7 linked regions of the Macaca mulatta genome follow. The protein of the gene in region 6 interacts with the protein of the main gene of each other region in a pairwise test. Links are inferred from orthologs where the notes say so. Each region holds a gene or a part of one and is shown on either strand. Other genes may lie near its edges. The genes, in order: STK19, RHOBTB3, MAGED1, NAA50, SMYD1, BHLHE40 and AANAT.

Region 1 (4,267 bases), on a different chromosome or scaffold from region 6:
TCTGCCTCAACTTTCTAAACAGCTAGAACAGGTGCATACCACCATGCCCAGCTAAGAATTTTTGTGTTTCAATTTATTTTATTTATTTAGTAGAGATGGGGTCTCAGTTATTTAGTAAAGACGGGGTCTCACTTTGTTGCCCAGACTGGTCTCAAACTTTTGGTTTCAAGCTATACTCCTGCCTCAGTCTCCCAAAGTGGTGGGATTACAGGCATGAGCCACCACACTCAGCCTAGATTTGTTTATATTTTACTTTACCTCCTCCCTCTTCTTAGACCACTGTCTTGAATCACAGGTTCTAATACTGCCAACTACTTCACTTTCTCAAAAATCTCTTTACTTTTACAATAGGCCTCTTCCTGGGTTACCTTTTTTTTTTTTTTTTTTTTTTGAGACAAGGTCTAGCTCTATCACCCAGGCTGGGGTGCAGTGGTGCTATCTCAGCTCACCTCCCCAGCTGAAGCAATCCTCCCACCTCAGCCTCCCCAGGTGCGTACCACCATGCCTGGCTAATTTTTGTATTTTTTTTGTAGAGATGGGGTTTTGTCATGTTGCCTATGCTGGTCTCAAACTCATGAGCTCAAGAGATCCACTCACCTCGGCCTCCCAAAGTGCTGGGATTACAGGCGTGAGCCACCGCCCCGGCCTCTGGGTTCCTCTTAACTCAGGCAATTCCTTCTCTGCCTCTGCCACAGATTCCTCTTCTTCTGCTTTCCCTTTATGTCAGTGGATCTCAAATTTTAAGGCACACTTAAAAAGGACTTGAGGCAGTTCAAAAGTGTAGAGTCCCAAATCCCACCCCAAGAGATTGTAACTCATTAACTTTGGATGAGTCCCAGGAACCTGTATTTTTTAAATAAACAGCCCATGTAATTTTGACACAGGCATAACTCAGCTCATACATTCAGTAACACTGCCTTAAATGACAGTGTTTCCCAGCATTGTGGATTTGACCCTATCAACTTCCACTCTAAACCTGGAGTCCTTAACCATGGACCTCAGAAGATTAGTGAAGTATTTCCCCCCAACTGTACATACATCCTATGTATATGTGGCATACGTACATTTTTCTGGAGAGAAATAGCCATAACTTTTATCACCTTCTAAAGATTATAAAAAGGTTAGAAATCACTCCTCTACCCACTCTTCCTACTGGATCTCACCACATTCACAGAATTAACCACTTGCTATTCACACCTCCATGACTTGTAATTCTATTATCACTGGCCAGAATTCTCTCCAACTCTAATAGCCACTTGTCTAATACGTTTGTCTTTGGATGCTCCACATGCACCATCAACTCAACTTGTACAAAATTAAACACATTATCCGTAGTCCAACAACTAAATGTGCTCCTAATACCACCAGCCACGCAGTCATCCGGAAAGTCTGAGTTTTCCTGGACTCCTCCCTTTCTCACTCTCCTCTCCCTCCGTACTGCACTGACCTAATTTAGGCCTTCACCACTTCTCAGATGCAGTGTCTTCTTAGCTGACCTCCCTGCCTCATCCACTACCTCCAATACACCATTCCCTCTCTCTATGACATTCTCTACCAGCCCATCGCCTCAGTGTAAGATGGAAACAACACTGATGTACAAGGCCTGTCATGATCTGACGTCTGTCTGCACTCCCAGTGCTCTATGTTCGAACCATGCCCCATGACTCGGTTTCCCCAAAAGCCTCGTTCTTCTCCCTCCATGGTTGAAATGCCCTGTACTGCCTGCGACCCATTTAACAGGGTCTCTGTGGCACCCCAGTGCCCGGAACAGTGCCCTCCCCTGAAAGGCCTAATGCTTGCTGAACAGCTGGCGGAGTGACTGAGGGACAGGAAATTTTAGGAGTCAGGAAAGGGGCCTCCGGCGGTCGCACCGACGCCCCTCACCAGCTGCCGGTCGGCCACGGTCCTGTCAGGCACGAGGCTGTACACCTGGCTCCTCAGCACGATGGGCGGCAGAGCGTCCTCAAACAGACCTCGCGGGAACAGCTGCATGAGCTCTGAGACAGCCGCACGCGCCGACCCTGGACCGAGAAACCGGGTCAGAGACAGGGAACTGGGGCGGGGACGCGGTTCCAACAAAACTCTCGGCTACCGGAAGCGAGGCCCCACCCAGCTGGGGTCTTTAGCCCCGCCCCGGGGTTGCCATGGTTACCTGGCTCGCCACGAAGAGGATCCGACTCCACAAGCCCTCGCTTCCGCCGCCTCTTAACTCCAAAGGTCTCCGGGACCAGGTGATGCCTTTTTCGGCTCATATCCCGGGATTTTATGGTACCGGGGAAGAGGTAGGAATGGAGGGAAGAGAACCTGAAAATAGGGTCTTCCGGCGCAGAACAGTGACGTACGGTCTCCCCGGGCGTCCCTCCTAGACCAGGTGGTGACGAAAAGGGCGTCAACTTGTCTTCCCTCAGGCCAGTCAGTGTTGGGAGGGGCGGTGGCGACGCAGATACCCGCACCACGTCCGCCGGGCCGGGCCTCACGCCGACCGCGGATTGGCTCCCTCCAAGGGCACGCACGCCTGGGGACTCGTGGGCGGCGTGGAGGGGCGCCGGTGGCCACGTTGGGATCAGCCTCCTTCGTAAAGCTCACACCTCCCCGGCCCCGGGAGGGGTTTGCCCGCCACTGTCGCTGAATGATTGCATCATCGAAAGCAGAAAAACCACTTTTGCATCCTTCGGCCTCTCGTGTGCCTGCCATGACGTCATAGCCCTGCGGAGGTGGAAGTTGGGGAAGTGGATTTGAGGTAACTGGATTCTTGATCTGAGCGCAGGCGTCCTTCCTAACCTCACTGCATTTGGAGGACCTGGAGGGAGGGTGGGTGAAGGGCAAGGAAAGAGGCAGGATGAGAGGTTGGCCGCGGTGGCGTCTGAGGGGCCTGAATGTTTCAAGGCCAGAACCTGGCGATCAGGTGGCTCGCTTAGTCCTAAACCAGTCATCCTTCTCCAGGCCTCCTCTGTAAAATGGAAACTCTGTCCCCCTGCTTCCCTTAGGACCTCATGGATCCCAGGGGGACCAAGAGAGGAGCTGAGAAGACAGAGGTAGCTGAGCCTCGGAACAAACTACCCCGTCCAGCACCTTCTCTGCCCACAAACCCTGCCCTCTACTCTGGGCCCTTTCCTTTCTACCGGCGCCCTTCGGAACTGGGCTGCTTCTCCCTGGATGCTCAACGCCAGTACCATGGAGATGCCCGAGCCCTGCGCTACTATAGCCCACCCCCCACTAACGGTCCAGGCCCCAACTTTGACCTCAGAGACGGATACCCGGATCGATACCAGCCCCGGGACGAGGAGGTCCAAGAAAGGCTGAACCACCTGCTGTGCTGGCTCCTGGAACACCGAGGCCGGTTGGAGGGGTGAGCAAAGCGTGGCAGGCAGTATATCTGGAGACCCGTACTACCCTCTAAAATTAGGAGAGCCACAGCTGGGGTGAGAATCAGTCCTTAAAAGAAACAGACTATTCTTCGAGGGGAGCATCTCACTAATGCTTGTGTCAGACCTTCAGCCTGTAACTCCTGCCTCTCAGGGGTCCAGGCTGGCTGGCAGAGGCCATAGTGACATGGCGGGGGCACCTGACAAAATTGCTGACGACACCGTATGAGCGGCAGGAGGGTTGGCAGCTGGCAGCCTCTCGGTTCCAGGGAACACTATACCTGAGTGAGGTGGAGACGCCGAAAGCCCGGGCCCAGAGGCTTGCTCGGCCACCGCTCCTCCGGGAGCTTATGTACATGGGATACAAATTTGAGCAGTATATGTGTGCAGGTGAGTTGCCCCTGCTTCATAGCCCCCTTCCCCTTCCCAGAGATTGAGAGTCCCCCACCCCTGCTGCTGCTTCTCTCCTTGTGCAGACAAACCTGGAAGCTCCCCAGACCCCTCTGGGGAGGTTAACACCAACGTGGCCTTCTGCTCTGTGCTACGCAGCCGCCTGGGAAGCCACCCTCTGCTCTTCTCAGGGGAGGTAGACTGCACAGACCCCCAGACCCCATCCACACAGCCCCCCACCTGCTATGTGGAGCTCAAGACCTCCAAGGAGATGCACAGCCCTGGCCAATGGAGGAGCTTCTACAGGTTCAGGACAGGGGTGGGCAGGGCGAGAGCTTAGACTTGAAGGCTGGGAAAGGGACTTGGGGAGGAGGGTGAAGGCAGAATGGAGGGTGGACGAGGGGTCCCACTGACCCCTTGCTTTTCCTGACAGACACAAGCTCTTGAAATGGTGGGCTCAGTCATTCCTCCCAGGTGTCCCGAATGTTGTTGCTGGCTTCCGTAACCCAGAG
Region 2 (4,168 bases), on a different chromosome or scaffold from region 6:
TTATAACAAACACTTTATTTTTATATTAGCTACCACTTATAGAGCAGCTACTAAATGTCAGCCTCTATACTTAGAACGTGATGCGTGCTAGTTTCTCATTCACTTCTCAGCACAGCTCTAGGAGGCAGATTATTTTATAGATAGGGAAAATAAGGCTGAGAAGGTAAGTGATTTAACAAGGACACGCAGACCTGAAATGGCAATGTGAGAATCTGAAATCAGATCCTTTTGATATCAAAGGCTGTGCTTTATCTGCTCTATGTAATATTCTGATTCTGTAATATGTCAAATAACAGTTTATTAATGCAATCAGCTTTAGTATCTCTGATGGGCTTTACTTACCACCAAGTGAAGAAAAGCACCTTATAAAGAGCAACTCTAGAAATGGAATCTCATATCTGAAGATCATTATAGCCCAGCAAATTGTACCGGGTTACAAACTTGGTGCCTTAAATAGGGCCAGAGTCTAACCAAACAAAAAGTGATTAGCAAAATAAACCATAACAACCAGCATATGGGAAAAATCCGTACCATAGAGGCTTATTTTCTCCATTTGGAAGATTTCATTTTACTAGACAAAGTGTATGGGATCACAAGCATTGCTGTTTGCAAAATTAACAATATAAACAGGAAAATGTTAACAGCTCAAATTAAATATAGGGAAAGCAATCCTAACATCCTAATGTAGCTAATTTTATTTTCCCTACGTTTACTCTATTCACCAAACATTTGTTCAACTGCATGTTGAACCGTTATGTTTTTAGGCTGTAAGATCTTTCACGACGAAAGAGTCCAAGTAAAAGAAGTGTTTCATTTGCCTGCATAGACTCTGGTCAGTAAGCTCTCCATCACACTTCTTATGACCAGCGTCATCACTGTCATAACTAGGGGTTTAATAGCATCTCTTAACTGAAAAGGTCTGTTTTTTATTTTACCAAATTAACAAACTTTCTTCTTTAACTGAAAACTTAAACAAGCGAGTGATCTTCTTTCTGTTACATGGAATTTTGCATAAAAAATTTTTCCAAGTACACTCTACACATTTTTTAGAAAGGCATGATAGTTTCCTATAGCCCTGATTCAGTTTTTAAAATTGCTGTTTAAATGTGAAATCTCACACAATGACAATTCGTATTTTTTCAGGCACTAAACTTTCTTCTGTTATTAAATGTAAACTTAGCTGAAACATACGTAACTCCAATATCAGTAAAGAATCAGAGATTTTCAAATAAGACCAAAGGAAAACATTCAAACATAATGTTATTGTATACTGAAAATACTTATATGTGTCAGAAAGTAAATTCCTTTCTCCCTTAATCAAACACTCAAGAATCGGGCTACAATTTATCCACTTCACTACAATTTTGTTCAATTATTACAAATTTTAATTTTTTAAGTTTTCCAAGCAACATTAGTAATATTATTTCTGATTTATGAGTCACTAAGACAAATGGCTAATACATAAAGAGTATTTGCATTATTAAAATTAAAAGTTTTCAGAGATCAATTAATAGTGCTATAAATGAGTCATTTAAAATTAACTCCCAGTCCCTGTCTTTTCCTCTGCTTTCCAGAGGAACTATTTCTGAACTGTCCCAATGAAAAGTATTTTTGCCTGTGTTGAGCTTTGAGAAGGCTGTATTTTTAGAACACCAATATTACACTATCACCCATAGGGTAGGCATAAAAAAACACTGCTTTCTGCTGGTGAAACTTAGTGACCCCGTCCCTTGGAGTTGGCACATTCAACTGTCAGCTGCCTCCCAAGGGACAACCCACAGTCGTGAAGTGTACCAGTAAGTGCTCCACATTCCCACTGGGGCCTTCTATCTTCCTAAGAGTCTTCTCTGACGGGGCTGTGCCCTGCCCAGTGAAACAAAGGACCGAATATTTTCTCAAAAATGTTTAAAAATTTGACCCATGTAACGCGAACACTCCACACTCACGGAAGTGGGCAGAAGGGGGAGGGGGCAAAAAAGGAAAGAAAAGCTTCTTCAGCCTTGGCGTGGAGCAGCTGCTGTTCCTTACCCAGACGGGACAGTCGTGGACCACCAGTTTGACATTCCCAAACGCACTGGCCTGATACTCGGTGAACACTGGACGCGCGACCGTGCTGGCCGCGTTCAGCAACAAGCTGCTCTCGTCCCCCGAGACCAGAGGGCTTCTCCCCAGGTAAGTGCGGATGAGACCCGACGGCCGGTTGTCCTGGTGGAACGCGTCCCCCTCGTTCCCCAGCGCCACGATGTGGATGGACCTGCACGGACAGAGAGGGGGCGAGGGGAGAAGGGAAGCACGGTCAGCGCGCGGGTCTCTCCTCGGAACAGGAAGTGCGGGGGACAGCGCGCGGCTAGGATGGGCACCAGCCCCCGTCCCTGGGGCGCACGGCACGCGCTGGAGAGAGACAATGGCAGGACGGCGGCGCGTACGTACATGATCTCAAATCCAAGGGCAGGGCGGCGACTCGGAGAAAAGCAGCGGCTTACGGCCTCGCGGGGCCCCCGGGCGGCGAGTTCACCCGCAATCCGCTCATCCCCGGCCGCGTCCCTCTCGCGCGCCTCCACCGCGGCGGGGCCGACGCAGAGCGGGGCCGGGGCCGCGCCAGCCAGCAAGCGAGCCGGACACCAGGGTGGGCTAGCGGGCGGGGGGCAAGCTGCTGCTACTCAGAGACTGCCCGGGAACATCGCCGGGCGCGGGACCGCCGCGCAGCCCCGAGTGGACGCAGCTGACCGCAGTCCCCTCTCCGCCGCGCCTCCTCGGCTGGCAGCTATCGCCTCCTGCTGCTGCTGCTGCCGCTGCTCCTCCTCCTCCTCTAGGCAGAGAAGGGGGGTCGGGGAGATCGGGGCCTCCGCCCCCTCGGCGGACCGGGCGAAGCACGTGCCGGCCCCGGGGGTCGGGCGGACACAGGGAACGCGCTCCCCGCCGAGGCCCCGGAGCTCCCGCGGCAGCGGCCGGACACAAAGGAGTGGCCCGCGCGGGGCGCCGCGGAATATAAATTAATAAATACAACGCCCCAGCCCGAGAGCTCCCGACCGCCAATCCGCCTGCAGCAAGTTTGTTCAACTCGCAAGGCCGTAACCAGAGCCAGGAAAGGGGGGTGGGGCGATGGGGCCCCCGCTCACTCCGGACTGGAAAAAGGAGGTTAGGGAAGCTAGGGATTCCAGCACGAGTGCCGCCCCAGCAACCCGATTTTCCCCCCTCTTGGCTTTGACCGAAAGTGCTTTACCACGGCTGCCGCTTTGTCATTTGTCAACATGCGCTACTGCTGTTTTCTAAAATCATACTTGTGAGAAAAAATAAAGACAACATTCATGCCACTGCAGAAAGGGTTCTTTGTTCGCACACCAATTAATTTGCTAATGTCGCCTTGGGGGGATTATTTACTATTTCGAGCTTTATTTAGCGTATTTTAGCGAAAACTTCAGGATTTTAAATGCTGGGATTTTTAGTGTGATCGTTTTTAAAGGAAGTTATGTATGGGGGTTTAATGTGTTGGTGAGTTAAATGCTAGTTTACTTGGAGATTTTTCTGTACACATTATGGACACATATTTAATAATAGCTCCGCAGACCAACTGAAAACATAATCATGTAAATGCAAAGATACTTTAGATTCTTTCATAATAATGCACTGAAGTAAAGGCTATGAATATCCCTAGCGTGCTTCAAACTACCTCAATACAAACGAACACTGGGATCCACTTACACCAAAATGGGCCAGGGATTACTCTGGGGTTAGACTCCTCCATACAGTATTAAAATTCTAACCAGTACCTTACTCCGTCTTAAAAAGAGTTCTTGCTTATCCTTTTATCTATTTATTTTTCCCTTCTGTAAAATTGGACTGTTTCTTTTCTCAACTGAGCTATTTTGAGGGTATGAAAGAAGGGGTATTGAGTAGGGTAGTAAAAAACTAGGGTAACAGCTTTTTATTATGGGCCCTTATTGCTCGGTTGAAAGTAGTTTAGTAGTTTCTCGTGCTCAGAGAAGATATAATAGCAGACATTCTTTATGTGGTCACTAATTTTTTTAAATCTAATTTCCCTTTGCATTTTCTGATTTCTCTTTTAGTCTCTAGAACCTAAACCATCCTTAAAAATTCCAGCATTCAGGATCACTTTTTCTCTTGGGTTAATGGAAAATATATTTTCTCATCAGTCTCTTCCAGAAAC
Region 3 (3,500 bases), on a different chromosome or scaffold from region 6:
TGGGTAGGACCCACTTGCTGTGCATTCCACTTTGCACATTGAGAAACCGGGCTCAGAGAATTGAGTGACCTGAGCGGGCTCACACAGCTGGAGACAGACAGGCTGGGCACTCCATCGCTGGAATTCTGAAGCCCAGCCCAGTTTCTCTCCGTAAGACCACAGCTGCCCCAGACCCCAGCCCTGAAAGGAACCAGGGCTTGCCATGGCTCAGACACACAGGTCTGATTGTCCTGGCTGCTCCAGTGGGCACCAGAAGGCCTCAGGGACAGTGTGATTGTATCCCTGATAAGGAAGAGGCCTGACGTTCTGAGCACAGAGTGGACCCCAAGGAGCAATTTCCACACCTGGATGGACCCACATAGGGCAGGGGGGAGGGTGGGGGCCTCTGCTTGTGTCCTCCTGAATGCAGAGCATGAGCTTGGGCCTCCTAGAACACAAACTTTGCTTGTTTAGGACAAATGGGGTGCCGTGGTCTGTTGCTCAAATGGAGGAGGGAGGGGTACCCTTAGTCCCCAGGGCAGCATGAGCAGAACGTGGGTTTTGGAGTCAGGAAGACCCAGACCCAAATTTTGCATTTTGTTTTCTGGCTCTGTGGCCTTGTCTAGTTTATGCAATGTATATGTGCCTCATCTTCCTGATCTGTAAAATGAGGGTGCTGACATTCACCTCCCAGGGCTGCTGTGACAGGAAGACAAGCCCCAGCACAAATCCTGCTGTGATGTACAAGCTGTGCCCTTCCCTCCTTTCCTCCCCCAACACACACAAATGAGTCCATCACCGGAGCTGCATAAAGAACAGGGAAGAAACTAACGTTCTTTCTGCGTCTGGGAGCTTGTGGGGGCGGGCAGGGAGTGGGGGAGAAATCATGGAGTCACGTGGCAGCCACAGACTTACTACTACTACTTTGTTAGCTCCAATAGTGTATCCTCTCAGGCCATTCCGTTTCCTCAGCGGAGGTCTAACACTTGTTGCAATTAGAGACCCCACACAGAGACCTAAGCGTGCTGGGCAAGGGGGTGGAGATGCAAGCCGACCTGACAGGAGGGGCCTTGAGTAGGGGAGGGACGGAATAGAGACGCATTGCGGAAAAGGTAGGGGGCCGGTGTGTGGGGCAAGGGGTGTGACCAAGAGGCACAGCGCATCTGTTGGGGGAGGGGGCGTAGAGGAAGGGGAGGTGCTGTTGTATAGTGTCGACCTGGTTGGTGGTGGGGTGGTGTGTTGGCAAAGGGGGCGGGACCGCCTTCAAGCGCACATGCGCATCATGGTCTCCAGGACGAAGCTTTTGTTGGGAAAGCAGGCGGGACTGACTTTGGCTTTTCAGTGTTTGCGCATGCGCGTAACGTCCTGAGGCGGTGGGTGGTATATTAGGCGAAGAGGCGGGGTCGCCCAAGCTGCCGCGCTGGCATTTTCTCCTGGACAAGGAGAGAGTGCGGCTGCTGAGAGCCGAGCCCAGCAATCCCGATCCTCTGAGTCGTGAAGAAGGGAGGCAGCGAGGGGGTTGGGGTTGGGGCCTGAGGCAAGGTGAGAATTAGCCCCCAGACAGGGCATCTGCCCCCTGGTGCGGGCCCCCATTTTTGTTTTATCCCGATCCCTTCACCCTGGATTCTGAATCCCTTTCCACCCCCCAAGCCCCAATTCACGTGCCCCTCCCGATCCTTCCTGATTCAAAACCCCTGTCCGATCCCTCCCATCGTTCGAAATCCTCAGATTCCTTGACCTCGATCTGTACTGTTAGATGATTCCTCCTGACTCAAAACCTCCATGCAACTTCCCAAATGCGAATCCCAACCCAACCGCACCCCTCCTCCGCGAATTTAGAACTCATCTGCTTCCCAAACCCCGATTTGAAGCATCTCCCTGTCAGTAGCTTCTCGGGGTTCAGAACCTGCATCTGGACGCCCATTCACTTTTCCTGCTCCGATCCGTTCCTCCTCACATTCACCTTATCCGCCCGCACAATCAGACCACAGTCATCCCCCTCCCAATTCGGTCCTTCGTATTTGCCCTCTGTAGTATAACGCCCTGCCCCTCTCCCACAGCCCCCAGGCTCCGCTCTTGCCAGAGGGACAGGAGCCATGGCTCAGAAAATGGACTGTGGTGCGGGCCTCCTCGGCTTCCAGGTGAGATCTCCACTCCCCACCCCAGCATTTCCCCAGCCGACAGTCACCCCTCCCCGCGGGCCTCTTTGGTTTCCCAAACGCCGGGATCCGGTTTGGCCCTCTTTAGTGACTAGACTCCGTGGGCCTTTCGAATTCTCATCGTTTATCGAAGGGGGGGAGGGGCGTCTCTTTTCAGCCATCAGTCCCTGCTCAGAGAGAGGGGAGACCCTGTTAGTAGTCAGGGCAATCTGCCCAGAGAATGCGGGGTGGGTAAGGAACCATTTTTTTTTTCCAGAGTCCTGACGCTTGTAGAGCAGTCTGTCACCCCCTCCCCCAGCCTCCTGCCTCCACCCTCCCTCTCTCTGCATTCCCCACTCTGTGCGACCCCCCTTATTCTCAACTCCGCGATCCGCCTCCCGTCCTGAGCTGCTACTGCACGCCTCTCAGAGCGTCCCTGGCTCCTGTTCCTGCCCACTCTCTGCACACCTCCCCACCCCTCATTTTGCCCCTGCCCTACTCCATCCCTGCCACATGTTTAGTACCCGCCCCGCCCCCTATCGCCCCTTGCGGGTCCCATAGATCTCTGCCTCAGCCCCCCTGTTTTTGCACCCACCACCCGCCTGCAGCTCCCCTGTTGCGCTGCCACCCGGGCTCCCTATTCCCACCCCACCTCCTGCCTCAGAGGCCCAGAGATTTAATTTTTCCCCTCCTGTGTTTGCAGGCTGAGGCCTCTGTAGAAGACAGCGCCTTGCTTATGCAGACCTTGATGGAGGCCATCCAGATCTCAGAGGCTCCACCTACTAACCAGGCCACTGCAGCTGCTAGTCCCCAGAGTTCACAGCCCCCAACTGCCAATGAGATGGCTGACATTCAGGTTTCAGCAGCTGCCGCTAGGCCTAAGTCAGCCTTTAAAGTCCAGAATGCCACCACAAAAGGCCCAAATGGTGTCTATGATTTCTCTCAGGCTCATAATGCCAAGGACGTGCCCAACACGCAGCCCAAGGCAGCCCTTAAGTCCCAAAATGCCACCCCAAAGGGTCCAAATGCTGCCTATGATTTTTCCCAGGCAGCAACCACTGGTGAGTTAGCTGCTAACAAGTCTGAGATGGCCTTTAAGGCCCAGAATGCCACTACTAAAGTGGGCCCAAATGCCACCTACAATTTCTCTCAGTCTCTCAATGCCAATGACCTGGCCAACAGCAGGCCTAAGACCCCCTTCAAGGCTTGGAATGATACCACTAAGTCCCCAACAGCTGATACCCAGACCCAGAATGTAAATCAGGCCAAAATGGCCACTTCCCAGGCTGACATAGAGACCGACCCAGGTATCTCTGAATCTGACGGTGCAACTGCACAGACATCAGCAGATGGTTCCCAGGCTCAGAATCTGGAGTCCCGGAC
Region 4 (2,772 bases), about 26 Mb from region 6:
GAAGGACTAAAGGTGGAGTGAAGGCAACGTCTAGGGATTAGTATCCCAGTCTTAAAAAACCCAAAGTACCACAAACACACTCAACTAGTCTATGCATTAGAGAACAAGATATTGCTGCTGCTTCTTTTTGTCTTTTGAAATATACAATGTTTTGTAGGCTCTGCCCTTCAATGTGAAAGCAGGACATTAAATTTGAAATTTGACAATTAAATTTTTAGGACCATCTAGCTTTAACTGCAAAATTAAACAGATCTACCTTCTCCTTCCTTCAAACCACCTCACAAAAATAAGAGAAAACAATTCAAACATGATTATTTTTTTGAAGTCCTTCAAAGTATTATAACTCTTAGAGAAAAGGAAAGGAAGAAAGAAAAACAAGAACAAGGAGGGAGAAAAGCTTTAAAAGAAAAGTGTTGGGGGAGGGGGTATCAATGGGCCTCTCTTTTATTTGGCGACAAGCAAGTGCAAGAAAGTTCATTTGTAATTTGTTCAGTTGTCTGTCTTTTGCACATCTGCATTCTGACCAGAAGGAACTTTGAGGTTTTTCTGCAGCACATGAGCATCTGCAGGCTCTATCCTCTTATAGTAGTTCTTCTTTGTCTCAATAATCTCAAAGCCAAACTTCCTGTAGAAGTCAATTGCCGACTCGTTGCTGATCTGGACATGCCTGAGGTATAAGAGAGTATCAGAAAAAAATTAAAATTAAGGTTTCATCAAGTTTTAAGCATTCTCCACAGATAGCTCCAAATTGGTTGGAGCTAGAATGCTGCACATTTGTTACATTCTCTTTACAATTACCACTAATCAACAAAGGTTAGGCATGCTTACCTAAAAGCTTTTGATGACAATTTTACAGTTTTTTTTTGAGACGGAGTCTCTCTGTGTCGCCCAGGCTGGAGTGCGGTGGCGTGATTTTGGCTCACTGCAAGCTCCACCTCCCAGGTTCATGCCATTCTCCCGCCTCGGCCTCCCGTGTAGCTGGGACTACAGGCGCCCACCACCAAGCCCAGCTAATTTTTCTATTTTTTAGTAGAGATGGGGTTTCACCGTGTTAGCCAGGATGGTCTTGATATCCTGACTTAATGATCTGCCTGGCCTTGGCCTCCCAAAGTGCTGGGATTACAGGCGTGAGCCACTGCGCCTGGCCCAATTTTACACTTTTAATCTAATTTTTACATTTGTAAGACAGCTGGTTAAGATTAGAAGGCTCACAGTGTTTATTCTTATAGTCAACAAATGGAAAAGTACCACAGCTATCAAAATTTTTTCATTTTAAGAGGATAAATTATTAAAAGGCCCTATTAACACACAGAAAATAATGATGAAAAATAAAAAACTAGGGTCTCAAAGCTTGAAGATATATCTTCCTTCTGATTGATAAAAAACATGGTATGTTTTAAAAATTAAAAATGCAAGCTTTCTCAATTACTCCCAAAAATAACACTGTATAATTCAGCATCTCACACAGCCAAACTAAATTATGAACATCCATGACTGTGATCTTAGTCATAGCTCTTTATGTACAGCCTCTTGAGATTCAAGTATAATCTCAGCTAGGTAATCTATGATTTTGATTATTAAACTCTACTACAAATGATCTACTACAATGTTCAAGGCTATCCAACATAGCCTTGAACAAAACACACAAGGTTATGCACGAGAAAAGTAGTATTAATGGTTTTGAATTCTGAAGACTTGAGTTTTTTCTTTTTTTGAGATGCAGTCTCGCTCTCTCTCCCAGGCTGGAGTGCAGTGGCGTGATCTCAGCTCACTGCAAGCTCCGCCTCCCGGGTTCACGCCATTCTCCTGCCTCAACCTCCCGAGTAGCTGTGACATGGGCGGCCGCCACTATGCCCAGCTAATTTTTTAAATATTTTTAGTAGAGACGGGGTTTCACTGTGTTAGCCAGGATGGTCTCTATCTCCTGACCTTGTGATCCGCCTGCCTCGGACTCCCAAAGTGCTGGGATTACAGGTGTGAGCCACTGCGCCTGGCCAAGGCCTGAGTTTTAATCCTGATTTCCTCCCTATGATTTTGGAGCTCTCATCCTAATATAATAAAGCAATGTGTTCTATCTCAGGTCCCTAATCTACTATTATTAATAAAACAAAACTAAACAAAACAACTACTCGAATACTTTGTAACAACTACTTCCACAGTGTTTCCAAAGGCACAGTAAGTGACCAGATTTTAAAGTTTCTAGTCAAGATTTCTCCTGCCAACTTATTAAACCCCTCTGATAAGAACATAAAATATTAATTTACTTACAGATAAATGTTGTCAAAAGTACCATCTTTTTCACAGATGTTTAAGACATGATTTAACATTTTAGTTCCTGTTAATAAAACAAATAACATGTGACTTCATAAATCAACCTTTAAATTATGTATCTATCCACCTGCCATCTGAACTACTTATTGGGTCCTAATAGAATTTATGAGGTATAGACTATTCTTATTTTCCAAAGTTGTGTTCTCTCTCTACAATAGCTACATATGTTTAAAACTGTTAACAGAAGACTAACCTTTTTAAACAAGCACTTCCAGGTAGAAGAAAAACAGAAAAAGCAGAAGGGGACGTAAATAGCAAATCTATGTAGGGATTCCAGCAGAATTATGTTAACAAACATTAGTTATTTCTCACCATATTTTACATAATTCAGTAACCCTTTCTCAGTATTCCTTAAAAAGACCCAAATTAACTTACTAGGTCAGACACATTAACAAAGAATATGTTTATGCCTCTCTGAAGAAGTAAAAAAACCCACAATTT
Region 5 (3,500 bases), on a different chromosome or scaffold from region 6:
AGGCATGAGCCACCAGGCCCTGCCCCTTGTTAGTATCTTAAACCCTGCCCACACTTCTGTAAACTGTCCCTTCATTCAATTGTATTTGGGTAAACCCCTTTGAGTGTGCCTCCTGATTCCTGCTGAGACCTTGACTAAATGACCTCTAGACAGATAATCCTAGGCTTCAAGTTTTAAAATAGTAGTTAAAGGTTTATCTGACACATCTAGGCAGCCCCAAGAAACATACACACTCAGAAATGACCCAGGTTGAATTCTTTGATATCCTCCATGATGCCTTTCTCTCATTCACAATTATTCTGGAATGAGATTTCTATGTGCTATACATTTAAAATCTATGCTAGTTGAGGTTTAGCAGGTTGACTTTGGCTTAAGTCAAGTGGACAAAACACCATAGGTCTCCCCATCCCCATCACACACCCCCCCAGATAAAGACATACTCACTTGCCATTGTTAAATATGACAGTGCAGTTGGGCCAACAGTCATGGTTCACCAGGCCCAGGTTGGGGAAGATGCCTACGCCCACGGCCTGCAGACCTCTCTGATCACTGAGAGTAAAACCGTTGCAGTTAATCTACCCAGAGGAAAAGATGAAAGAGTCAGTCAACAGACATGGACAGAACGCTATTCTAGCTGTTGAAAGCAATTTTAAAAAACAGAGGACCCAGTCTCATCCTGGAGATGCTTAGGGAGTCTGGACACAGAACATTAGTCCCCTGTTCTCTGTGTGACTCCAAATGACGCACAAGATTAGGGCCATGGGACAGTCCCACATCTGCAAAAATGCAACCCTACCTTGAAAGTTTTTTGTGGCTGTATTCTAAAAGAGTCAAAGATGGAAATGTTTTCCTTTTTCTGTATCTGGGTCTTACATGAGTATTCCTCAGTCTCTGTCTTGGTTTTTCTCTCTGTACCCTTCTTTGCACGCGTGTGTGCGTGTGTGTGTGTGTGTATGTGTGAAAGAGCTTTTCCTTTCTCTATTTCCTCTGCCTACTTAGTTTAAACTCCTGTGGCTGTTCATAAAAAAAATTAACATCTCTTTTGATTATTTTGTATCTGGTGAATACTGTTATATTCCCTGCTCACAATTTTTAAATCTGGTGAGTGCCATATTTAACACTTATCACTGAGATTCAAGGCAAATCAAGTTGGTTACTACTGATGTGGCATCCAAGTGATTTTCTTTTCCTTAAAAATAAATTGTTCTTTACAGAAACAGACTCCAAATATCTGCTCTCACAGTATGAAAAATGCAGAAGAATAAATATAACCTAGAATACATTAGTAACTGCATGCAAATTTCCACTTCATCTGTAAATACATCTATGAATACATGCTATATATAACAGAAACCCAGTAGACATTTATTCCCTCACATGAATATTTGTCATAGATATGGAGGAGTGTCACTTTCTCCACTTACTCTCATCAGACATTTAGTAAGTTCATGATGTTAAGCCTGTGAGTACCACTAACAAGCTGTACTACTTGGAGCAAACTTCTTTCTTCTCTGAGCCCTGGTTTTCCCATCTATAGGTTGAATAAATTGGACTAGATGAGCTCCAAGGATCTTTTCAGCTCTAACCTTTGGTAATTATATGACCTCTAGCCCTAGTCCGCAGACCTATTAGGGATGCCCAAGATTGCGCAACACACCAATTCACCCCAAGGCTATAGAACATAACTGTTAAAAGTAAAAGCTTAGACCGGGCGTGGTGGCTTACGCCTGTAATCCCAGCACTTTGGAAGGCCGAGATGGGCAGATCACTTGAGCTCAGGAGTGCAAGATCATCCTGGGCAACATGGTGAAACCCGGCTCCTACAAAAAAATACAAAAATTAGCCAGGCCTATGCTAATTGCGTCTGTGGTCCCAGCTACTTGGTAGGCGGGAGGATGACTTGAGCCTGGGAGATGGAGGTTGCAATGAGCCATGATTGCACCTCGGCACTCCAGCCTGGGTGACAGAGTAAGACCCTCATCTCAAAAAAAAAAAAAAAAAAAAAGGTAGAAGCTCTGGCTCCTGAAAATACAGATTGCTTCTGGAATTTCCCTGGGCACAAGCTAACCATGTGGCTTTTGGAGGTCATGTAACCTCTCTGGACCTAGGTTTTCTGTTCTATAAAACAGAAATGCTGAAAGCATGGACCTTACCTTGTGTTGTAAAGACTGTGTGAAATAATACATGGGAAGCTGTGGTGGTTAATTTTGTGTGCCAACATGGCTGGTCAATGGTGCCCAGATATTTGGTCAAAAACTATAATGTATGCTTCTGTGAAGGTGTTTTTGGATGAGATTCACATTTAAATTAGTGGAGTTGAGTAAAGCAGAGTGCCTGCTAGAATGTGGGTGGGCCTCATCTAATCAGTTGAAGACCTCAAGAGAATAAAGACTCATCTCCCCTGAACAAGGAGTTCTGCCAGCAGAATGCCTCTGGACTTGCACTGCAACTCTTCCCTGATCTCCAGCCTGCTGGCCTACCTTGCAGATTTTGGACTTACCAAGCCTCCACCATTGTGTGAGCCAAATCCTTGGACTCAATCAATCTCTCTCCCTTTGTCCCCCAATATGGTGAAGACTCGAGAGATGTCAGTGTGATGTTTGTCCTCCTCCCTCCTCAGCCTGCTCACCTTCGCCACATAAAGAGCCTGGCCTACCAGGTGGAACACATCCATCCCCACAGCCAGGACCTGAGCCTCCTCATCCACTGGGCTCTCGCCCCCACTTCCGGGACTGTTATGGCCTCACCTGGCTTGGTTGCTCCCACCCCAAAATCCTGACTCCCCTCTCTCTGGCTCACAGCCCCCACTGCTGCAGCCTCCACATCAATCCTGCCTGGCAGACCTGGAAAAAGGTTTCCAAAGTGACTGGTGGGCAGGAAGGGATAGTGATTGGGGGTCTTTATTTTCAATGTGGAGAGGAAAAAGTATAAAAAGTGCAGATAAGTAAGAGGATAAATTACCATCCAAATCTATCATCCAGAGATGGATAAATAAGTAAGATTTGTATGTGGGATGCCAATTCAGATAGAGCAGGAATGGCCTCATAGTAAACAAGGCCAGAAGATAGAGTCCGGGATGAGGGGTCTTCATTTCAAGCTCCTATCCTCTTTCAGTCCTCTTGGCCTCCCCTCCCAGCTGTGGCCTGGCAGTTTCTGGAAACTTCTTAGTTGGACGATCCCAGCTGTCACCATGGCCCCTCCTTTATGAGGAATCATACTCTAGAATCTCTGGCTTTTATTAGTTGGGTCATTTGGAGGCCTGTCCCTGGGCTCTGAAATGGAAAGGGCAGTAGATGTTTCTGCTACATATGGTAAACAGAAGGTGGTTTCTCCAGAGCCTCTGGCTGCCTGGGCTAGATGAGACCTTTATGGAAACAGAAATTAGGGTCCAGGGCGGACAGGGCTTCCGCCTCGTAGTTCACTTCTGAGAAGCCCCACCCTCCCCAAGCAGGAGGAGGGAAGGAAAGAGGAGACAGACAGGGAGGGTGGAGAAGGGACGC
Region 6 (3,130 bases):
GCAGCTCATCTCTATTAATTATGGTCCATTTCCATGATAGGATATTATGCAAACATTAAAAATCGTATTTTATCTGAGTGTTAGTATATGGATTATTTTAATTTAATTATTTATACTTTTCAGTGTAATTCTTCTCTGAGCATACTACTTTTGGAGTTAGGAACACAAATCAGTAAATGCGATTTCTTTTTTTAACAAAAACGAAAGCACCTGGTTTTTTGGCGTATAGGTATCCAGGTGCACCACAGGGCCTTCTGAAACATTTTCCTTTGGATTTTTGTTTCCCTAGGTGAGCTGTCAGGGAGAAATGTTGAAACAGGTCAAGAGATGTTCTGCTCAGGTTTCCAGACTTGTGCCCGGGAGGTGCTTCAGTACCTGGCAAAGCACGAGAACACTCGGGACCTGAAGTCTTCGCAGCTTGTCACCCACCTCCACCGGGTGGTCTCAGAGCTGCTGCAGGGTGGTACCTCCAGGAAGCCATCAGACCCAGCTCCCAAAGTGATGGACTTCAAGGAAAAACCCAGCTCTCCGGCCAAAGGCTCGGAAGGTCCTGGGAAAAACTGCGTGCCAGTCATCCAGCGGACTTTCGCTCACTCGAGTGGGGAGCAGAGCGGCAGCGACACGGACACAGACAGTGGCTACGGAGGAGAATCGGAGAAGGGCGACTTGCGCAGTGACCAGCCGTGCTTCAAAAGCGACCACGGACGCAGGTTCACCATGGGAGAAAGGATCGGCGCAATTAAGCAAGAATCCGAAGAACCCCCCACAAAAAAGAACCGGATGCAGCTTTCGGATGATGAAGGCCATTTCACTAGCAGTGACCTGATCAGTTCCCCGTTCCTGGGCCCACACCCACACCAGCCTCCTTTCTGCCTGCCCTTCTACCTGATCCCACCTTCAGCGACTGCCTACCTGCCCATGCTGGAGAAGTGCTGGTATCCCACCTCGGTGCCAGTGCTATACCCAGGCCTCAACGCCTCTGCCGCAGCCCTCTCTAGCTTCATGAACCCAGACAAGATCTCGGCTCCCTTGCTCATGCCCCAGAGACTCCCTTCTCCCTTGCCAGCTCATCCGTCCGTCGACTCTTCTGTCTTGCTCCAAGCCCTGAAGCCTATCCCCCCTTTAAACTTAGAAACCAAAGACTAAACTCTAGGGGATCCTGCTGCTTTGCTTTCCTTCCTCGCTACTTCCTAAAAAACAACAAAAAAGTTTTTGTGAATGCTGCAAGATTGTTGCATTGTGTATACTGAGATAATCTGAGGCATGGAGAGAAGATTCAGGGTGTGTGTGTGTGTGTGTGTGTGTGTGTGTGTATGTGTGTATGTGCGCGTGCGTGCACATGTGTGCCTGCCTGTTGGTCTAGGACTTTAAAGCTCCTTTTGGCATAGGGAAGTCACGAAGGATTGCTTGACATCAGGAGACTTGGGGGGATTGTAGCAGACTTCTGGGCTTTTCCCCACCCAGAGAATAGCCCCCTTTGATACACATCAGCTGGATTTTCAAAAGCTTCAAAGTCTTGGTCTGTGAGTCACTCTTCAGTTTGGGAGCTGGGTCTGTGGCTTTCAGCAGAAGGTACTTTCAAAAGAGGGCTTTCCAGGGCTCAGCTCCCAACCAGCTGTTAGGACCCCACCCTTTTCCCTTTATTGTCGACGTGACTCACCAGACGATGGGGAGAGAGCAGTCAGACCGAGCTTTCTGCTAACATGGTGAGGTAGCAGGCACTGGCATAGCACGGTAGTGGTTTGGGGAGGTTTCTGCAGGTCTGCTCCCCACCCCTGCCTCGGAGGAATAAAGAGAATGTAGTTCCCTACTCAGGCTTTCGTAGTGATTAGCTTACTAAGGAACTGAAAGTGGCCCCCTTGTACAAGCTGAGCTGCCCAGGAGGGAGGGAGGCAGGAGTTCCCTGGGCTTCTGGCACCTGTTTCTAGGTCTAACCATTAGTACTTACTGTTCAGGGATCCAAACCAAGGTCTGAGAGACACAGACACCCCGAACGAGCACCCCAAAGGGCACAAAGCTGAGTAACAAACTGCTGCCTTCAAACAGAACTAGACTCAGTTTTCAGTTCCATCCTAAAACTCCTTTTAACCAAGCTTAGCTTCTCAAAGGCCTAACCAAGCCTTGGCACCGCCAGATCCTTTCTGTAGGCTAATTCCTCTTGCCCAACGGCATATGGAGTGTCCTTATTGCTAAAAAGGATTCTGTCTCCTTCAAAGAAGTTTTATTTTTGGTCCAGAGTACTTGTTTTCCCGATGTGTCCAGCTAGCCCCGCAGCAGCTTTTCAAAATGCACTATGCCTGATTGCTGATCGTGTTTTAACTTTTTCTTTTCCTGTTTTTATTTCGGTATTAAGTCGTTGCCTTTATTTGTAAAGCTGTTATATATTATATAAATATATTAAAAAAGGAAAATGTTTCAGATGTTTATTTGTATAATTACTTGATTCACACAGTGAGAAAAAAATGAATGTATTCCTGTTTTTGAAGAGAAGAATAATTTTTTTTTTCTCTAGGGAGAGGTACAGTGTTTATATTTTGGAGCCTTCCTGAAGGTGTAAAATTGTAAATATTTTTATCTATGAGTAAATGTTAAGTAGTTGTTTTAAAATACTTAATAAAATAATTCTTTTCCTGTGGAAGAGAAAGATGGTCTCCTGAATTTTTTTTAAATAACTCAATTGGTGTGATATGGCTGACTCCTATGTCCTTCCTTCTTGGCTTAAGCAAACCAGTTAATCTCAGTGTAATTTCATTCAGCTTTTCATGTGCTTTGTATTCAATCAGAATAAGCTTAGTCAACTTGGCAGGTAAATATTGGTTTAATTTTTTTTTTAACCCTTGCCAGGGGTACACGATCATCCTCTACCTCTCCAGAGTTAAGTAAAAAGCATATTTTCCCCCGCCTGCTTTCATCGTGGTCCTTGGAACTTGACAGAAAACCAAGGTATGATACCGTGGGCTGCAGTGTCTGGGGAGCCTGCTGGAGGGAGAGGCACATTGAGAAAAGATTTACTGGATTATTATGCAATACTAATTGATGCTGGGATAGCACCTCTTTGCCAAAGCAGTCTAGCTTTTTCAAATCTATGAAGGTCTAATGGATTTGCCATATCCTGTCTTATTCCTGCTGG
Region 7 (3,137 bases), on a different chromosome or scaffold from region 6:
GAGTTCGAGACCATCCTGGCTAACACGGTGAAACCCCGTCTCTACTAAAAAAAATACAAAAAACTAGCCGGGCGAGGTGGTGGGCGCCTGTAGTCCCAGCTACTTGGGAGGCTGAGGCGGAGAATGGTGTAAAAACCCAGGAGGCGGAGCTTGCAATGAGCTGAGATCCGGCCACTGCACTCCAGCCTGGGGGACACAGCGAGACTCCGTCTCAAAAAAAAAAAAAAAAAAAAAAAAGAGTGAGAAAGGGCATCCACGAGGCTGGGGAGAATAAGGACCCCCCTTGAGCAATGGGCTCCTGTCAGGATGCTGCCTTGGTGCCTTTGCCCACCTGCCAGGAGGAGGAAAGGAGCCAGGGAACCCACAGCGCCTCCCATTGTCCCCACTTACCAACCCAGCCCAGTCTCAGGTACAGAGTTCAGAACACAGGAGGTCCAGAGGCCTCGTGGGAACAGACAGGACACACCACTCCAGCTCGGGCTGTGAGAAGCCACCCCATCTCCTCTTTATTTAGCCCTGCTCTCTCCACTCTGGAAACTGCTGTCTCCATGCTCAGCTGAGCTAAGGGGCCCAGGGCAGAGACGGGGATCACGTTGGCAGCCAGGTGGGCAGCCCAGTTCAGCAGCCGCTGTTCCTGCGCAGGAAGGGGTGGCCCTGCAGGGAGCAGTGGAGCTCCGTGAAGCTGAGGGAGCCCACGGTGATGGCGCAGGGGCCCATGGCGTGGAAGCCGAACCTCTCATAGAAGGGTACCAGCGCGTCCTCGCACATGAGCGCGGCCCGGTGCACAGCCGGCTGGCTGCCCAGGTGGTGCAGGTAGCGCCACAGCAGGATGGGGCCCCTGCCCTGCTGCCGGAAGGCACAGTGCACGGCCAGCACGTGCAGGTGGGCTATGTGGCCCCCAGGCCTGTGCATCGTCAGTGACTCCTGGAGGTGAGCAAGGGACGAGAGCCCAGGTCACTTCTGCTGATGCATGCTCCTCCCCAGCCACCGACCCAGGCAGGGAGCAGGTGTCCCCTCGGTGCCTGTGGTCAGGGCTCCCGCCCCAGCCAAGGAGGGCCCCAAATTTTGAGCCATACCCCCATCCCCATGGAGAAAACTTGAAAACCCAGAACGCCTTGCCCTGGGAGGGGGCTGTGGCCTATACTCATCTCTCCAGTTCTGGAGGAAGAAATCCCAGCCCCTGGGCTCCCCTCCCCACCGTCTGGCTGACCTCTGTCTTCAGAGGCCTCCCTGGAGCTGGGCGTCACAGCGCCGTCCTCACCTGCATGAGTCTGTCCTTGTCCCAGAGTGAGCCGATGATGAAGGCCACAAGGCAGCCCTCCTCGAACCAGCCCAGGGACAGCTCCGGACACAGGGTCAGGAAGTGCCGGATCTCATCCAGGTACAGGGGGCAGACACCCAAGACGGAGATGAAGGCTGTGGCAGGAGGCTCAGGTGGGCAACTGGTAGTCGCTGTGCCTCACGTCCACTGTCTGCTGCACCCCGAGTGTCTACTCAAATGCCCCATTCCCCCCAAGAAAATGGGGTTTAGGGCTGCTGTTTCCTCCACTTTCTTGAGCGCACACATGGTCTGATACTCTGGGACCCAGCCTCCAAGACAGGAGACTCAAGGGTCTCCTCCCCACAGGATAACTGGACCGGAGTGGAGCTTCCCTCTGACCCTGTGCAGGGCCACTCACCTTCACGCTCGATCTCAAAGGCGCTGACGGCGTCCTCCGGGGTGAGGCAGCGAAACTCGCTGGCAGGGAGCGTGTGGCGCCGCTGACAGCTCGAGATCGCAGGCGGCAGACGCGGGGCCTCGGGTTTCGGGGGGTGGGTGCTCTGTGTGGACATCCTGGCCACTGGTGCCTCCCTGGGGCACCCCACCTTTGGAAGTGGCCTCCTAAGCCACGGAGGGCCTCCCAGCACCTGTTGGAGAACAGCAAGGGGCAGGGGTCTGATCCTCATCTCCAGGGAGTCTGGCCCCACACTGTGCATCTGGCCTCTTTTATAGCAGGAACTGGGTGGAGCCAGCCCCCAAATCAATGGGCACATTCCCCGGGTACCTGGTCTTCAAGGCTGTTACCAGGCACTACAAACATTGGCACTGTCTCCCCACCTTTCCCTCGCAGCCAGAAGGATCCCTGGAGGTCTGTCCCCTTGCAGACCTGCAGACACTGGTCTCAGGTGCCTTCTGGGTGCTTCTGAGCCCCAGAGATGGCAGGGATGAGCAGGGCTCCATGGAGCCTGGGGCACCCCAACCCTGCTGCCCACAGCGGGGAGGCAGGACTCCTGACCCTCCACTGACCACATCTAATGCAGCTGTGCAGTGGGTGGGCCCCCGGGTCCCCCACACCACCATTCATGTGGTTTATCTTACCTCCCCAGAGGGAGGCTTCTGGTTTTCTGGGTGCAAGATCCTGTGGCGGAGAGCTTTTTAGGTAGTCTCAGCCCTTGGTCCTAGAGAAAAAGCCCCTTAATCCCCTTAGGGAGCCTCTATTTCTATCCAGATGGCCTCAGACTGGGCCACACATATGCAGGATTTGTGGTGGGGGGTGGGGAGGTTAGAGGGAGCCGGGGGCTGCAGAGGGCCTGGGGGATGGGGAGGAACAGGCAAGGAGGATGCATAGGATACCCCCTGCCCCACACGTCCAGCTCATCGGACATGCCTCTCTGGGCACTCTTGTCTCCCAAGACACCCTGCAAATTTGCAGTTCTTAGAGGAGGCCATCCCTCCCTCTACCTTCCAAGACACTTAATAAACTCCGTGACTTCCATGTTTCCCTCCATGTCTAGAAGCTCCAAGCAGGGAAGCTCCTGTTCCTGAAGGCTGAGAGCCAGGAGCTGGGGTTCCACCTACCTGGGCTGTGGAGAGGGCACCGTGTTCCCTCCACAAAGCCAGTGGCCCTGGGGACCTGTCCGCAGGCACAGGAACCAGGAAAATCCAGGACTCCTGGCTGCAAGGCTGTAGTAGCAGATGTTACCAGGGCAGCCTGTGGTGCTGTTCTCAGAGGTTTCTAATCCCCCCCACCCCACCTCTCAAGCTATCCCAGGCAGGATGACGCCAGCAGGGCTCTGGCAGCCTCTGCCCCTGCCTTGCTGAAGGGAAACGTCAGCTCTGGTGCCCTGGGCACAGAAGGGATTACCAGAGGCTGACT

The links.
Region 1: the proteins of BHLHE40 (region 6) and STK19 interact in a two-hybrid assay, tested with the Homo sapiens proteins (2 studies listed by BioGRID). The two-hybrid records come from large-scale screens. The link is inferred for Macaca mulatta from reciprocal best matches to the Homo sapiens genes BHLHE40 and WHR1.
Region 2: the proteins of BHLHE40 (region 6) and RHOBTB3 interact in binary tests that used the Homo sapiens proteins (3 or more experiments, as listed by UniProt). The two-hybrid records come from large-scale screens. The link is inferred for Macaca mulatta from reciprocal best matches to the Homo sapiens genes BHLHE40 and RHOBTB3.
Region 3: the proteins of BHLHE40 (region 6) and MAGED1 interact in binary tests that used the Homo sapiens proteins (3 or more experiments, as listed by UniProt). The two-hybrid records come from large-scale screens. The link is inferred for Macaca mulatta from reciprocal best matches to the Homo sapiens genes BHLHE40 and MAGED1.
Region 4: the proteins of BHLHE40 (region 6) and NAA50 interact in binary tests that used the Homo sapiens proteins (3 or more experiments, as listed by UniProt). The two-hybrid records come from large-scale screens. The link is inferred for Macaca mulatta from reciprocal best matches to the Homo sapiens genes BHLHE40 and NAA50.
Region 5: the proteins of BHLHE40 (region 6) and SMYD1 interact in binary tests that used the Homo sapiens proteins (3 or more experiments, as listed by UniProt). The link is inferred for Macaca mulatta from reciprocal best matches to the Homo sapiens genes BHLHE40 and SMYD1.
Region 7: the proteins of BHLHE40 (region 6) and AANAT interact in binary tests that used the Homo sapiens proteins (3 or more experiments, as listed by UniProt). The two-hybrid records come from large-scale screens. The link is inferred for Macaca mulatta from reciprocal best matches to the Homo sapiens genes BHLHE40 and AANAT.

What each region holds. Positions count from the first base shown.
Region 1 is NC_133409.1:150,337,769-150,342,035, forward strand, and holds the start of STK19 (winged helix repair factor 1), read right to left. Parts: upstream 2,801-4,267; 5' UTR 2,695-2,800; coding exon 2,448-2,694; exon of another isoform or gene 2,434-2,447; intron 2,363-2,433; coding exon 2,153-2,362; intron 2,022-2,152; coding exon 1,885-2,021; intron 1-1,884. Other genes in the region: DXO (decapping and exoribonuclease protein), read left to right, coding at 2,994-3,349, 3,520-3,755, 3,842-4,061, 4,189-4,267. UniProt on the Homo sapiens protein: DNA-binding protein which is required for efficient transcription-coupled nucleotide excision repair (TC-NER). Acts as part of a TC-NER complex which assembles and interacts with RNA polymerase II (RNAPII) when it stalls at DNA lesions.
Region 2 is NC_133411.1:102,094,572-102,098,739, reverse strand, and holds the start of RHOBTB3 (rho-related BTB domain-containing protein 3), read right to left. Parts: upstream 2,801-4,168; 5' UTR 2,433-2,800; coding exon 2,431-2,432; intron 2,423-2,430; exon of another isoform or gene 2,318-2,422; intron 2,255-2,317; coding exon 2,029-2,254; intron 1-2,028. UniProt on the Homo sapiens protein: Rab9-regulated ATPase required for endosome to Golgi transport. Involved in transport vesicle docking at the Golgi complex, possibly by participating in release M6PRBP1/TIP47 from vesicles to permit their efficient docking and fusion at the Golgi.
Region 3 is NC_133426.1:51,809,909-51,813,408, forward strand, and holds part of MAGED1 (melanoma-associated antigen D1), read left to right. Parts: intron 1-1,393; exon of another isoform or gene 1,394-1,521; intron 1,522-2,039; coding exon 2,040-2,120; intron 2,121-2,820; coding exon 2,821-3,500. UniProt on the Homo sapiens protein: Involved in the apoptotic response after nerve growth factor (NGF) binding in neuronal cells. Inhibits cell cycle progression, and facilitates NGFR-mediated apoptosis. May act as a regulator of the function of DLX family members.
Region 4 is NC_133407.1:170,005,194-170,007,965, reverse strand, and holds part of NAA50 (N-alpha-acetyltransferase 50), read right to left. Parts: intron 2,336-2,772; coding exon 2,269-2,335; intron 668-2,268; coding exon 490-667; 3' UTR 1-489. UniProt on the Homo sapiens protein: N-alpha-acetyltransferase that acetylates the N-terminus of proteins that retain their initiating methionine. Has a broad substrate specificity: able to acetylate the initiator methionine of most peptides, except for those with a proline in second position.
Region 5 is NC_133418.1:26,070,463-26,073,962, forward strand, and holds part of SMYD1 (histone-lysine N-methyltransferase SMYD1), read right to left. Parts: intron 576-3,500; coding exon 445-575; intron 1-444. UniProt on the Homo sapiens protein: Methylates histone H3 at 'Lys-4' (H3K4me), seems able to perform both mono-, di-, and trimethylation. Acts as a transcriptional repressor. Essential for cardiomyocyte differentiation and cardiac morphogenesis.
Region 6 is NC_133407.1:143,722,682-143,725,811, forward strand, and holds the end of BHLHE40 (class E basic helix-loop-helix protein 40), read left to right. Parts: intron 1-289; coding exon 290-1,146; 3' UTR 1,147-2,630; downstream 2,631-3,130. UniProt on the Homo sapiens protein: Transcriptional repressor involved in the regulation of the circadian rhythm by negatively regulating the activity of the clock genes and clock-controlled genes.
Region 7 is NC_133421.1:86,220,800-86,223,936, reverse strand, and holds AANAT (serotonin N-acetyltransferase), read right to left. Parts: upstream 1,909-3,137; 5' UTR 1,834-1,908; coding exon 1,680-1,833; intron 1,417-1,679; coding exon 1,262-1,416; intron 925-1,261; coding exon 619-924; 3' UTR 501-618; downstream 1-500. UniProt on the Homo sapiens protein: Controls the night/day rhythm of melatonin production in the pineal gland. Catalyzes the N-acetylation of serotonin into N-acetylserotonin, the penultimate step in the synthesis of melatonin.